Linked DNA regions of Oryctolagus cuniculus. The protein of the gene in region 1 interacts with the protein of each later gene in a biochemical or structural test. Links are inferred from orthologs where the notes say so. Each region holds a gene or a part of one and is shown in the gene's direction. Other genes may lie near its edges. The genes, in order: PLCG1, LCP2 and SOS1.

The links.
Region 2: the proteins of PLCG1 (region 1) and LCP2 form a complex in vitro, tested with the Homo sapiens proteins (2 studies listed by BioGRID). The link is inferred for Oryctolagus cuniculus from reciprocal best matches to the Homo sapiens genes PLCG1 and LCP2.
Region 3: the proteins of PLCG1 (region 1) and SOS1 form a complex in vitro, tested with the Homo sapiens proteins (2 studies listed by BioGRID and IntAct, with this or other methods). The link is inferred for Oryctolagus cuniculus from reciprocal best matches to the Homo sapiens genes PLCG1 and SOS1.

What each region holds. Positions count from the first base shown.
Region 1 is NC_091442.1:17,781,644-17,785,295, reverse strand, and holds part of PLCG1 (1-phosphatidylinositol 4,5-bisphosphate phosphodiesterase gamma-1), read left to right. Parts: intron 1-1,796; coding exon 1,797-1,949; intron 1,950-2,059; coding exon 2,060-2,153; intron 2,154-2,307; coding exon 2,308-2,355; intron 2,356-3,652. UniProt on the Homo sapiens protein: Mediates the production of the second messenger molecules diacylglycerol (DAG) and inositol 1,4,5-trisphosphate (IP3). Plays an important role in the regulation of intracellular signaling cascades.
Region 2 is NC_091437.1:57,184,379-57,188,128, reverse strand, and holds the start of LCP2 (lymphocyte cytosolic protein 2), read left to right. Parts: upstream 1-917; 5' UTR 918-1,130; coding exon 1,131-1,208; intron 1,209-3,750. UniProt on the Homo sapiens protein: Adapter protein primarily involved in signaling pathways within T-cells, as well as other immune cells such as platelets, mast cells, and natural killer (NK) cells.
Region 3 is NC_091433.1:163,884,155-163,887,115, forward strand, and holds part of SOS1 (son of sevenless homolog 1), read left to right. Parts: exon of another isoform or gene 1-957; coding exon 958-1,002; exon of another isoform or gene 1,003-2,555; coding exon 2,556-2,674; exon of another isoform or gene 2,675-2,961.

The sequences.
Region 1 (3,652 bases):
CAGGCTCTTTTGCTTTCAGTCTGGGCTCAGTGGAAATGAACACAGGGCAGGCTGAAATTTACCTAGGGCTTGATGGTGGCTCTGCCTGTGTGTGTTGCCTAGCAGTAGTCCCTGGACTGGCCCTCCAGCCGCCTGCCAAGTGGTACTCACATTACTGGACTACATGTGATGCCTGGTAAGGTAGTTGAAAGGAAGGGCCCATGCCGTGGGCCACACAGGCCCTGGCCTGCATACATTGCTATGTGTGTGTGCCTTCGTGAGAAGGTGTAGGAGGGGATGACAGTAGCACTGCACTGGAAGCTTACTGGTTTCTGTTGCAAGGATAGAGTGTGTGGCTCTGCAGTTTCTGATCTGGGCGTTTCGCCTGATGGAAGCTCTTCCTTCCATCCTTGGAGATTGTGGTCTCAAGCTGGTCTCTGACCCAGTTCGCTCCCTCCTTTCTGCCAGAGTGTAATGTGTCATGCTTACTCCATCCCATTTCATTGTCCTTCCCCAGGCCTGTAAACCTGCTCTTTTCATGTGTTCATTTAATTATTCAGCAACCACTGGAGGTGCCCTGTCTGGCCTGGGGAAGATAAAGAGCATACATTCATGTAGTGGGCCCAAGAATATGTTTACTACAGAAAGGAGCTTCTCCTTTGGAGCTTTGGTGGGAGAGAATGGATCCTGATAGGTGGGTACCCTTAGGCCAGGGACCAGGGTAAAATGGGGACAGGAAACCCCAGTTGTTGTCACCCTAAGTTAGGTTAGTTTGGATAAAGCAGACGAGATGGGAGGTAAAAGCTGGGGAGGTAAATCTCTGAGCCCCCGTCACAGAGAACTTGGAGGGCCACAGAAGGAGCATGTTCTCCTGAAGCTGGTGGTGGGCAGTGTGTGTGTGTGTGGGGGGGGGGGGGTCTACAGGGATCAGAACGATGTTTTATGAAGATTCAGAAGACTGGGAAGATGGCTGGTTGGTGAGAACTAGGAGGCAGGGCCACCAACAGGAAAGGCAGGGCTCTCAGCAGAGGATGGGGGAGATGGACTAGATGCTCAGGGGATGAGAGTTGGGCCCAGGTAGAATCAGTACTGTTGTGGCAAGAGATTTGGGATTGGGGCCAGACGCAGTGTCCACTGTTATAGATGGGATAGATAGGGCCTGCTATTCAGGGCTATGCCTTGGGAGGGCAGGGGTAGCAGGGCCCTTCGATAGCTGATCAGGAAATGACAGTCCAGGATGGCTGCTTTGCTTGGACAGTGTTGCCTTAGGGGCAGTTAGGCCTCTTGCTGAGATTGTGTAAGGCTGTCTTTAGGGGTTGGAACATCTCAGAGATGTACCTGTTTTCTGGGCCTGCTTTCTCCCTGAGATTCTGAGACCCATGTGGATCTGTCCATCCCCAGCCCTGCCCCTGCTTGGGTGTGCTGTGTGTCATGAAGTGATCCTCACAGAACACCCTTGGGAACCCATTGCTTCTCTGGAGTTCAGCTCTTTTCCAGGTCAGAATGTCCAGCCTGTATTCTGAGAGAACAAAGATGGGGGAAGGTCTCCATAGAGAGCTCCCTGTCGCCAGGTAGCCTTTTCTGACCTCTCAGCCCTTAGCAAAGGCTTGAGTTTGGACCCAGCCCAGTTGTCTTTTATCATTCAGTGTGACTGAGTGCTTTTGGCTCTTGGCCTTGGAGGTTGGGACAGGGCATTGTCTTTCTTTGTGATCCCTTCCCTGAGAGAAAACATGCAAGTAAGTGAGGAAACTGGGCTGCCCTTGGTACTGACTCTGGGAGTCTCCAGCCTGACCTTGGCCTCTTCCCTGCTTTCCTAGTTGACATTCGTGAAATCAAGGAGATCCGCCCAGGAAAGACCTCACGGGACTTCGATCGCTATCAAGAGGACCCCGCTTTCCGCCCAGACCAGTCACACTGCTTTGTCATCCTCTATGGGATGGAATTCCGCCTGAAGACCCTGAGCTTACAAGGTGGGTTTCAGAGGGCTAGAGGAGGTGGGGGTAGTTAAGAGGAGCACCTGCTGGTTCCTGGCCCCATAGCAAGTGTGCCCTCAGTTCAGCTATTCTCCCTTGCTCAACAGCAACGTCTGAGGATGAAGTGAATATGTGGATCAAGGGCTTAACTTGGCTGATGGAGGACACATTGCAGGCAGCTACACCTCTGCAGATTGAGAGGTGAGAACCACCCCTGAGAGGGTTAGCGCCAGAGGCCTTGGAGCAGGGGCAGGGACTGCAGCCTTCGGATGCCCAGATGCTGCCTGCTCCCCTCCTCCCCAGGCCTGGCCCTAGGTGGAGAAGTGTTCCTCACCTCGGGTTTTTCTCTCTCCAGGTGGCTTCGGAAACAGTTTTACTCAGTGGATCGGAATCGGGAGGATCGGTAGGTACTAAGCTATGAATAGGAGAAGCAGAGCCATAGCCGTGCCTCTGAGCAGCTACCTGGAGAGCCAGGGGACCCCAAGAATCTGCCTGAAGTAGAGTAGGGGAAGAACAGAGGGTCCTGGCACAAGTAGTTCTCTGCAGAAAGCCTTCTGATAGCCTTGGTACAAGCTAGTGAGGAAAGCAAGTGACAATATGGAAATGCAGAACAGGCTATGGGTGTCCTGAAGCTGGGGAACAGGGGCTCAGATAGTATGTGAAGTGTGTCTTAAAATGTAAGAGGGGATTCTTTTTTGACAGGCAGAGTGGACAGTGAGATAGAGAGACAGAGAGAGAAAGGTCTTCCTTTTGCCGTTGGTTCACCCTCCAATGGCTGCCGCTGCAGTCGGCGCACCGCGCTGATCCGATAGCAGGAGCCAGGATCCAGGTGCTTTTCCTGGTCTCCCATGGGGTGCAGGGCCCAAGCACCTGGGCCATCCTCCACTGCACTCCCTGGCCACAGCAGAGAGCTGGCCTGGAAGAGGGGCAACCGGGACAGAATCCGGCGCCCTGACCGGGACTAGAACCCGGTGTGCCGGCGCCGCAAGGTGGAGGATTAGCCTATTGAGCCGCGGCGCCGGCCAAGAGGGGATTCTGAGGGGCCAGGGAGATGAGGGAGCAAAAACCAGGTGGTGTGGATGCTGTCCCGTGGTTAAGCCCTCTGAGCCTGGGTGTGCTGTGACTTAGTGTTGCTGAAGATCCTATGCTGCTCTGGCATTCCTGGGGAAAAATGAGCAGGCTGGGATCAGGGTGGTGAGAGTAGGAAGTGGATGGATTTGGCTATGTTGTATTTCAAAGATAGAGCCATAAAGAATTTCCTTGCAGATTGATTTTGGCATATGAGAGAGAAAGGAGTCTGCTTTTGTCTTGAGCAGCTGGAAAATACAGTTGGCATTGACTGAAGTGGGAAGTCCACGGGGACACATCAGGGGTTCAGCTCAGGGTGTGTTCAGTGTTCTGATGTCATGTGTAGGCCGAGGTACTGAGTAGGTAAGAGGGTAGAATGGGGTTTAGGGGAGAAGTTGGGGCTAGAGATACTAACTTGGGACTGTGAAGGTGCTGTGGAGAGCCATGGTGGCAGCTGATAAGATCACCCAGAGGCAAGTGGCAAGAACAGGGATGCCAGCCCATCTCAGAGATTGGGGATGAATGGCGGCTAGTGTGAGCTAGTAAGAGGAAAATGGTATTGAATTCTGGCAGCCTGAGGGAAGACTGTGACATGACCCTTGGGTCAAACAGCATGGTGGGAGAGCAGCATC
Region 2 (3,750 bases), on another chromosome or scaffold:
TTGTTCAGAGGCCACTGCTGCATTGCACAAATGCATTGCCTTTTAGACCCTGGCTTGGCTGTCTGACAACAAGTTGCTCCGTCTATAGAAATGCACAGTCTGAGACTGGTGAAGAAATTAGAAGATTCCTACTCCTGTCTCCAGGGAATGTGCTTTTTGATTGAAACACATGATGTCATCAACAGTGAATAAAACATGAGCTGTAAACACACAGTGGAATCCAAGGCACCAGCTGTAGCAATTGTCACTTCTAGCTTTCTGATTTTTTCATTTGAAGGTTCTCAAGTTAAATGCATCTATTTGTTATGTGTGTATAAGGCAATTCCTCTGCTTTCCTATTTTACATATAGGGAAACTGAGCTCCCCAGATTTTAAGTCCTTGCCTAAGGTTGCACAGCACAGAGAAGCTCCCATCAGAAGGGAACCCGGGTTGGCCCAGGGTAGCGCCTTGCTCAGCCTTGGATGCCTGACGCACTACAGACTCACCCTCTCATTTCAATGGTAGCAGGCAGAGACTGCTAGAGACTAGGGCTGAGAGAAGAGGGAAGAAGGGGCATCATGCATGCGTCCCCCCACACCACAGCTCCCTGTTGCTGGAAGTTGTCTATATTTTAGGTCAATTGTCAGATGAATAGATATTCATCTGCAAAGCCCCAGCAGAGCAAGAACGTGGTGTAGACCCATGGGGTGGGGCTGAAGGGACAGGAGTTTTAACAGCAAAATGCTTGGGCTGGCTTCGGAGTTTAAGCGCCCTTCATGGCCCCTCCTGCTGGGCAGGGGTGCCCAGGACCACGGGCGAGGTGGAGAATGACCTGCCCTGTCACTCTGTCTGCATCTCAAGCCCTCAGAGCTGGGCTTCCTTGTTTACTTATTTAGAAGCCAGCAGAGGAAGTGGTAAAGGAAACTAGCCAAGTCGTTTTCTGAGAAGAGACCATATTTGTTCGCAGAGGAAGCTGCTGCTTTCTGGGATCCGACTACAGCAGAAAAGACGTCTGCTCCAACAAGGCCGATCCAGGGGCAGCTGGGAGTTGGGAGAGCCAAGGACGCCTCCAAGATCTGGATTTGGGGTTCTCTGTCCATGGGTGCAGCATCCACGCTCAACCTGTGAGCCCCCTCCTAAGACAGCGGCCATGGCACTGAGGAACGTGCCCTTTCGCTCCGAAGTCCTCGCCTGGGACCCTGACAGCCTTGCTGACTACTTTAAGAAGGTGAGACCCACTCTTTTGTTGGTGGTCGGGCTGGGAGTGCCCTCCATGGGCTGGGCAGAAGACAAGAGGTGTAAAAGACAGCTGTGGAGTGACTGGCCTCTCGGCAGCCTTGTTGGGAGAGTGAGCGCCATGGGAGACCACTGAGAGCTCCTTGCAGTGAGTTCTGGAGAGGAGGGTGGGAGCAGGAGCTCTTGAATGAGTAGGTGCCTACCATGTGCCAGGGCCTGAACTCGGTACACTGCAGCACTGTGCCATTGATCCCTCTTGACAATCTTCTGAGGTCAATATTGTCATCCCTGTGGCTCAGCTTCAAGGTAGGCTCAAGGAAGCTAAACAGCCCAAAGCCACAGGGACTACAGGTGGTAGTGACAGAAGGATTGGAGTCACTTCTGTGCAGTTTCAGTCTGTGCTCTGAGATGAAGAGAACTACATTCTAGAAAGGGGAGACCTGGTGCTCTGGGTGCAGAACAACAGGCAGGGAAGGAGGCAGGGGTAGAGGGTGAACAACGCTAGACATGGCGTTTGGCCACTCACTGCTCAGGGCCCAGAAAGCTGGGTCCTCAAGTTCTTACATAGATCAGAGTCTCACTGCAGTGGAGCCGGGACCAGGGTTGCTGTCCTACCTTCCAGACTTGGAAGAGATGCTCAAAGATCGTCTGCTTGTCCACCTGCTGGTGGGGATGACAGGACACAAGCCTGCCCGAGCAAGTATGGATCCTCTGTTCCTGTCTCTAGCATAGGATGCCTTGCAGGGGACATTTGCTCTCTTTTTTAAGATTTATTTATTTGTTTGAAAGTCAGAGTTACACAGAGAAAGGAGAGGCAGAGAGAGAGGGAGAGAAAGAGCGAAAGAGGTCTTCCATCTGCTAGTTCACTCCCCAGTTGGCTGCAACGGCCGGAGCTATGCCAATCCAAAGCCAGAAGCCAGGAACTTCCTCCAGGTCTCCCATGTGGGTGCAGGGGCCCAAGGACTTGGGCCATCTTCTACTGCTGTCCCAGGCCATAGCAGAAAGCTGGATCGGAAGTGCAGCAGCCCATATGGGATGCCGGCGCTTCAGGCCAGGGCGTTAACCCACTGTACCACAGCACCAGCCGAAGGGACATTTGCTCTTCTAACATCCTCTTCCCTGCAGGCTGGCACCACATTTAGTTGATACTGCAGACCAGCATAAAGAAGAGCTTGTAGCACTAAGACTTTACATGTCATCTCACTTAACTGTTTTTCCTGGGGAAACTGAGCCCCGCGGGGGTGGAATAGGCTCTCTGGGACACATAGCTGAACCTGAGGTCTCATAGTACCAAGGTATTTGCAGTGATGATGGTTCTTCCCCAGCCTAAAAACAAAAACCTTGAACCAGGTGTGGCATGGTAGGGGCACAGCCCCACAGAGCCTGTCGTTTTCTGTTTCTTGTGCATTTCACTTCTGTTGTCCCCTCTGCCTCCACCCCACACATGTATAAAGTCATAACAAAACTAGGTTTTGGGTTTGTAGATGCAAAGATCATTGGACAACTGGCCCGACTGGCCTTTGAAGAGTGTTTCTAATACTTCTCTGAGATAGGGCGATCAAAGGTAAAATTTGCCCAGATGGAAGTATGTGGTACGTTATTGCAATAAAGAAGGGAGAAAGGAGTTGAGAGTTACAGAGGGAAAGGCCCAGGAGAGGCTGAGGGGCTATTTCAAATGTGGTCAGAAAAATTTCACAACTCAGCTGACCGACAGAGAGTCTGTAGACAAAGTTCCTGTCAGCGCAGGGCGATAGGACAGACTGGAGGGCAGGACACAGCTCTCTGTCTGAGTTCGGGGAAGAGATGATTCTCTTCTTGGAGTTCTAAGACCTTGCAAAAACTGCATAGCACTGGGCCAGGTTCCCCTCCCGGCACAAAAGGACCCAGGTAGGAACAAGGAGGCAGAGGGGAATCTGTGACCCTGGAAGTCCCAGGCCATCTCAGTCCCCAAGAGACAGAACCAGGAGCGCACTGACTGCAAGTTCATTTGGGGATGGATCTTAGTGATCAAGCATACCCATTTAACGCATCAGTGGGTAGGCGTTTGGTGGGTGCAGCTTCTACCCACGTGTCAGGGTCAGGCTTCCCTCAGTGATACCACGCTGCCCAACTCTGGAGTCAGACACACCTTGTTGGAACCCTGGCTCTGCCACCTGCTAGTTTGGTGGCCTTCCCTTAGCTACTTCGCCTCTCTGAGCAAGTCAGTCCTCAAGAGAGAAAACATTGCTCAACACAGGGTCATCTGGGGATGGATCTTGGAAATAAAATGTATCATTTCACGGGTTGATTGGTAGATGATTGGAAGGCAATTGGTAGGCACAAGTTCTACCAAAGCAGGCAATTAAACAGACATGAAGGGTAACAAACCCAGTGGAATGGTTGAGAGGAGTAAAGGAAATAGTGTATGTGAGGCATTCAGCAGACAGAGGTATCAAAATGTTTATTGCTCCCAGTTTCCTGCTGTGTTAACTGGCCACTCATTGGTATGTGGATCGCAGGGCTCTAAGTCTTTTTACCTCAGATGTGTTTCTCAT
Region 3 (2,961 bases), on another chromosome or scaffold:
TGGTCAGTATATTTGTTCAGCATCCAGTTGACAAGAATTTCTAACCTATCTCTTGATTAGACAGCATAAAATTCTAAGAGAATTCTTAAGAATATTTTCCAGATGGCGAGACCAACCAATGAGTTAAAAGAAATAAGGCCAAAGATGTGCCCCAAATTTACCAAGTGTTTGAATCTAAGACCATGCTATATGTGAACATGTTCAAAGCCAACTTTACATCCATGTCTATAAGTGTGTATGCATCTGTATAATTCTTTCAAAAAGACTGCAACCTGTAATAGTCAACGGATGTGATTTTATTTTATTTCTGTATTGTACTAATTATACCATCATTTTTTAATATTGTTGAAATTAGACACTTTAAATTTATCAGTTTCCTTCAAAAAATGTCTTTCAGCCCCAAACTTTTACTGATTTTTTTAGAGTGTTTATTGCCACAAAAGGAAAAAAGCTGTATCACTTTCAGCTTGTTTGAATATCCAGAGCTGTAGTTATTTTGTGATGAGAATACCTGTCCCAGGAACACTTTTCAAAAGTATAAAGTACTAAGAAATTCCCTTTTCTTTTTAATTTGTATAAAATAATTTCTTATTTATTACTTCTTTCACAAGTTTGAATTTTCAAAATAATTTTTAGTAAATGACATTTCTGAATGGCCCCCTGAATTCTTTGCTTGATTTAATCTGTGCAACTTAGTCTTACAATAATATAGTTTTCTTGTGAATATTTGTCATTTAATTATTACATCAAACAGTAAATCTAAAACATCTTCAAAGTTCCAAATATTAACTCAGTTTTTTCTTCTCAAAAGTAAGTAATAATGAGTTTTTATTAAAAATTGTTACACCATTCTTTAGAATTAGAATGACAAGAATAACACTTTCATCATAAATTTTTACATATGGGTTGAATATATCAATGAAAGAAAAATCTACTTTTTCTTGTTTCCTTTCACAGGCAGCGATACCGTCTTTATCCAAGTAACACTGCCCCATGGCCCAAGTTAGTATATTTGGTTTAAGACTCATAATTCTTGCTTTGGCTTTAAAAAATCAAACCAAGTGTAACCTTTCCTGCTAAAACTCGTCTTGGGTCTGGCAGCATTGGTACCTTGCTTGCAACATCTTAGAAGTGAGGCCCTCACTTGTGCTATCTTTTAATCATAAGTGATTTGCTTAAATTTATATACTTTTCATGCTTTTTTAAAAACTTTTTTTTCCCTCTTTTAAAAGAACATATTAAATGAGTGGCTTCCCCCATGTAACCATTTCTCTTTTCCCACTATGGAGTTCTGAATATATTTTACTGCTCAACTTTGAAAACAGCAGCAAGAGCATGCATGCGCATATGGGAATGCTGGCAGCTAAAGCAGTGTCTGAATCACAGCTATACATAGTTTGGTAGACAGCTTAGGCTGGAGGCAAATAACTGCAGCTATTTACATGATAAGGCCCAAGTAGTTATCATTAAGTTGCATTGTAGCTCTTTGCTTTTGAAGTAAACTAACCATTCAATTCCATTATTTTAATTATATTAAGCTTACAGATTAATATTTTTGCTGTCCTTTCATAAAAAAGATTTCAAAATTTATACAATGGAAAATATTGTACACTAAAGTTAGTATACATAGTCTCTTAAGAAAAAGGTAGTTGATCATTTGAATAATTCAGAACACAAAGTGCTTTTTAAATTATTTTGTAACATTTAACTGACAAAAGCTTAATGCCTAAAGGGGAAAAAAAATCCTACCAAGTATAATTTTAGTGATTGGATGGCTTAAGTATTTTTTCATGTCCATTTTTATAGTATTTATAAACTAGCTAACTTACACATGTGTTGTCTTTCAGAGTGTAATGATTTACATACCTACATTATGCCCTTGTCACCATAAATGTCTGTTAGACAGGTTCTCAGTAGAAGCTTTACTTTGTGTGTCTGCCTTAGTCATCTTAAATAGTTTCATCGCAGCTCCAGTTTTTAGATTAGAGGCTGATTTTGCTGATACGCTAAGGATAACCTATACCTAAGCAAAATGCGGAGAAATCCTTCCCTGGACAGTAGATTCTTTCCCTTGCATCCACTGAGAGAACTGCTGGAGAGAGGCACTGGGGACAGAGGTTAGGATCAGAAACTCTATTCCCAGGAACTATCCAGAAAGACCTGGGAATTTCTATACTAACAAAGTCAGAGGCAAAAATGAACCCATCACAAAACTTAACAAAAATTACCATTCCAAAGATTTTTTTAATAGTTTGTTATCTCTCCCAAAAATCTGAGAATCAGACTCAATTAAAAATCCCAATAACAGATTGACACTGGGAATGTTATTTTGTTCAAGAATCAAAATAACAGTGTCTTAGGCAGCTTTTTTCTAAAAATTCTGCTAAGAAATTTCTGCATGCATTTATAGCAGTTTGCTTTAATAAATGAAATACTACTGGGTACTTCTACATAGTTCTTTTAATAGATATAATCAATTTCCAGCTAAATCTTTTCAAGATTAATAAATGAAATAAAATTCCCATGAACTGTTTTTAAAATGTAACATCCTACAGGATCTGCTTCAGTATCATCTATAAGTTTAACCAAGGGCACTGATGAAGTGCCTGTCCCCCCTCCTGTTCCTCCACGAAGACGACCAGAATCTGCCCCAGCGGAATCTTCTCCATCTAAGGTAAAGTAGAAAATCTTGTTATCTGGAAATTGGAATCAATACAGTTATAGTATCATCAGTTGTTTAGATATAGTTTATTTTAAACTGGGATAGATGAACATCTCAGAATATTTGGGCTTAGTTTAATAAGGATTCATGTAGTCATGTTTATTTCTTTTCTTCTGAAGTTAGTTTTGGGTATGTTTTTATAAACCAAAAGCTATTGATAAGGTTAAAGAAATATGACGTTTTAATCTGTAAAGTAAGAGTAATTTGGTTTCAAGCAGTTCTTTAAAAATACATACAGA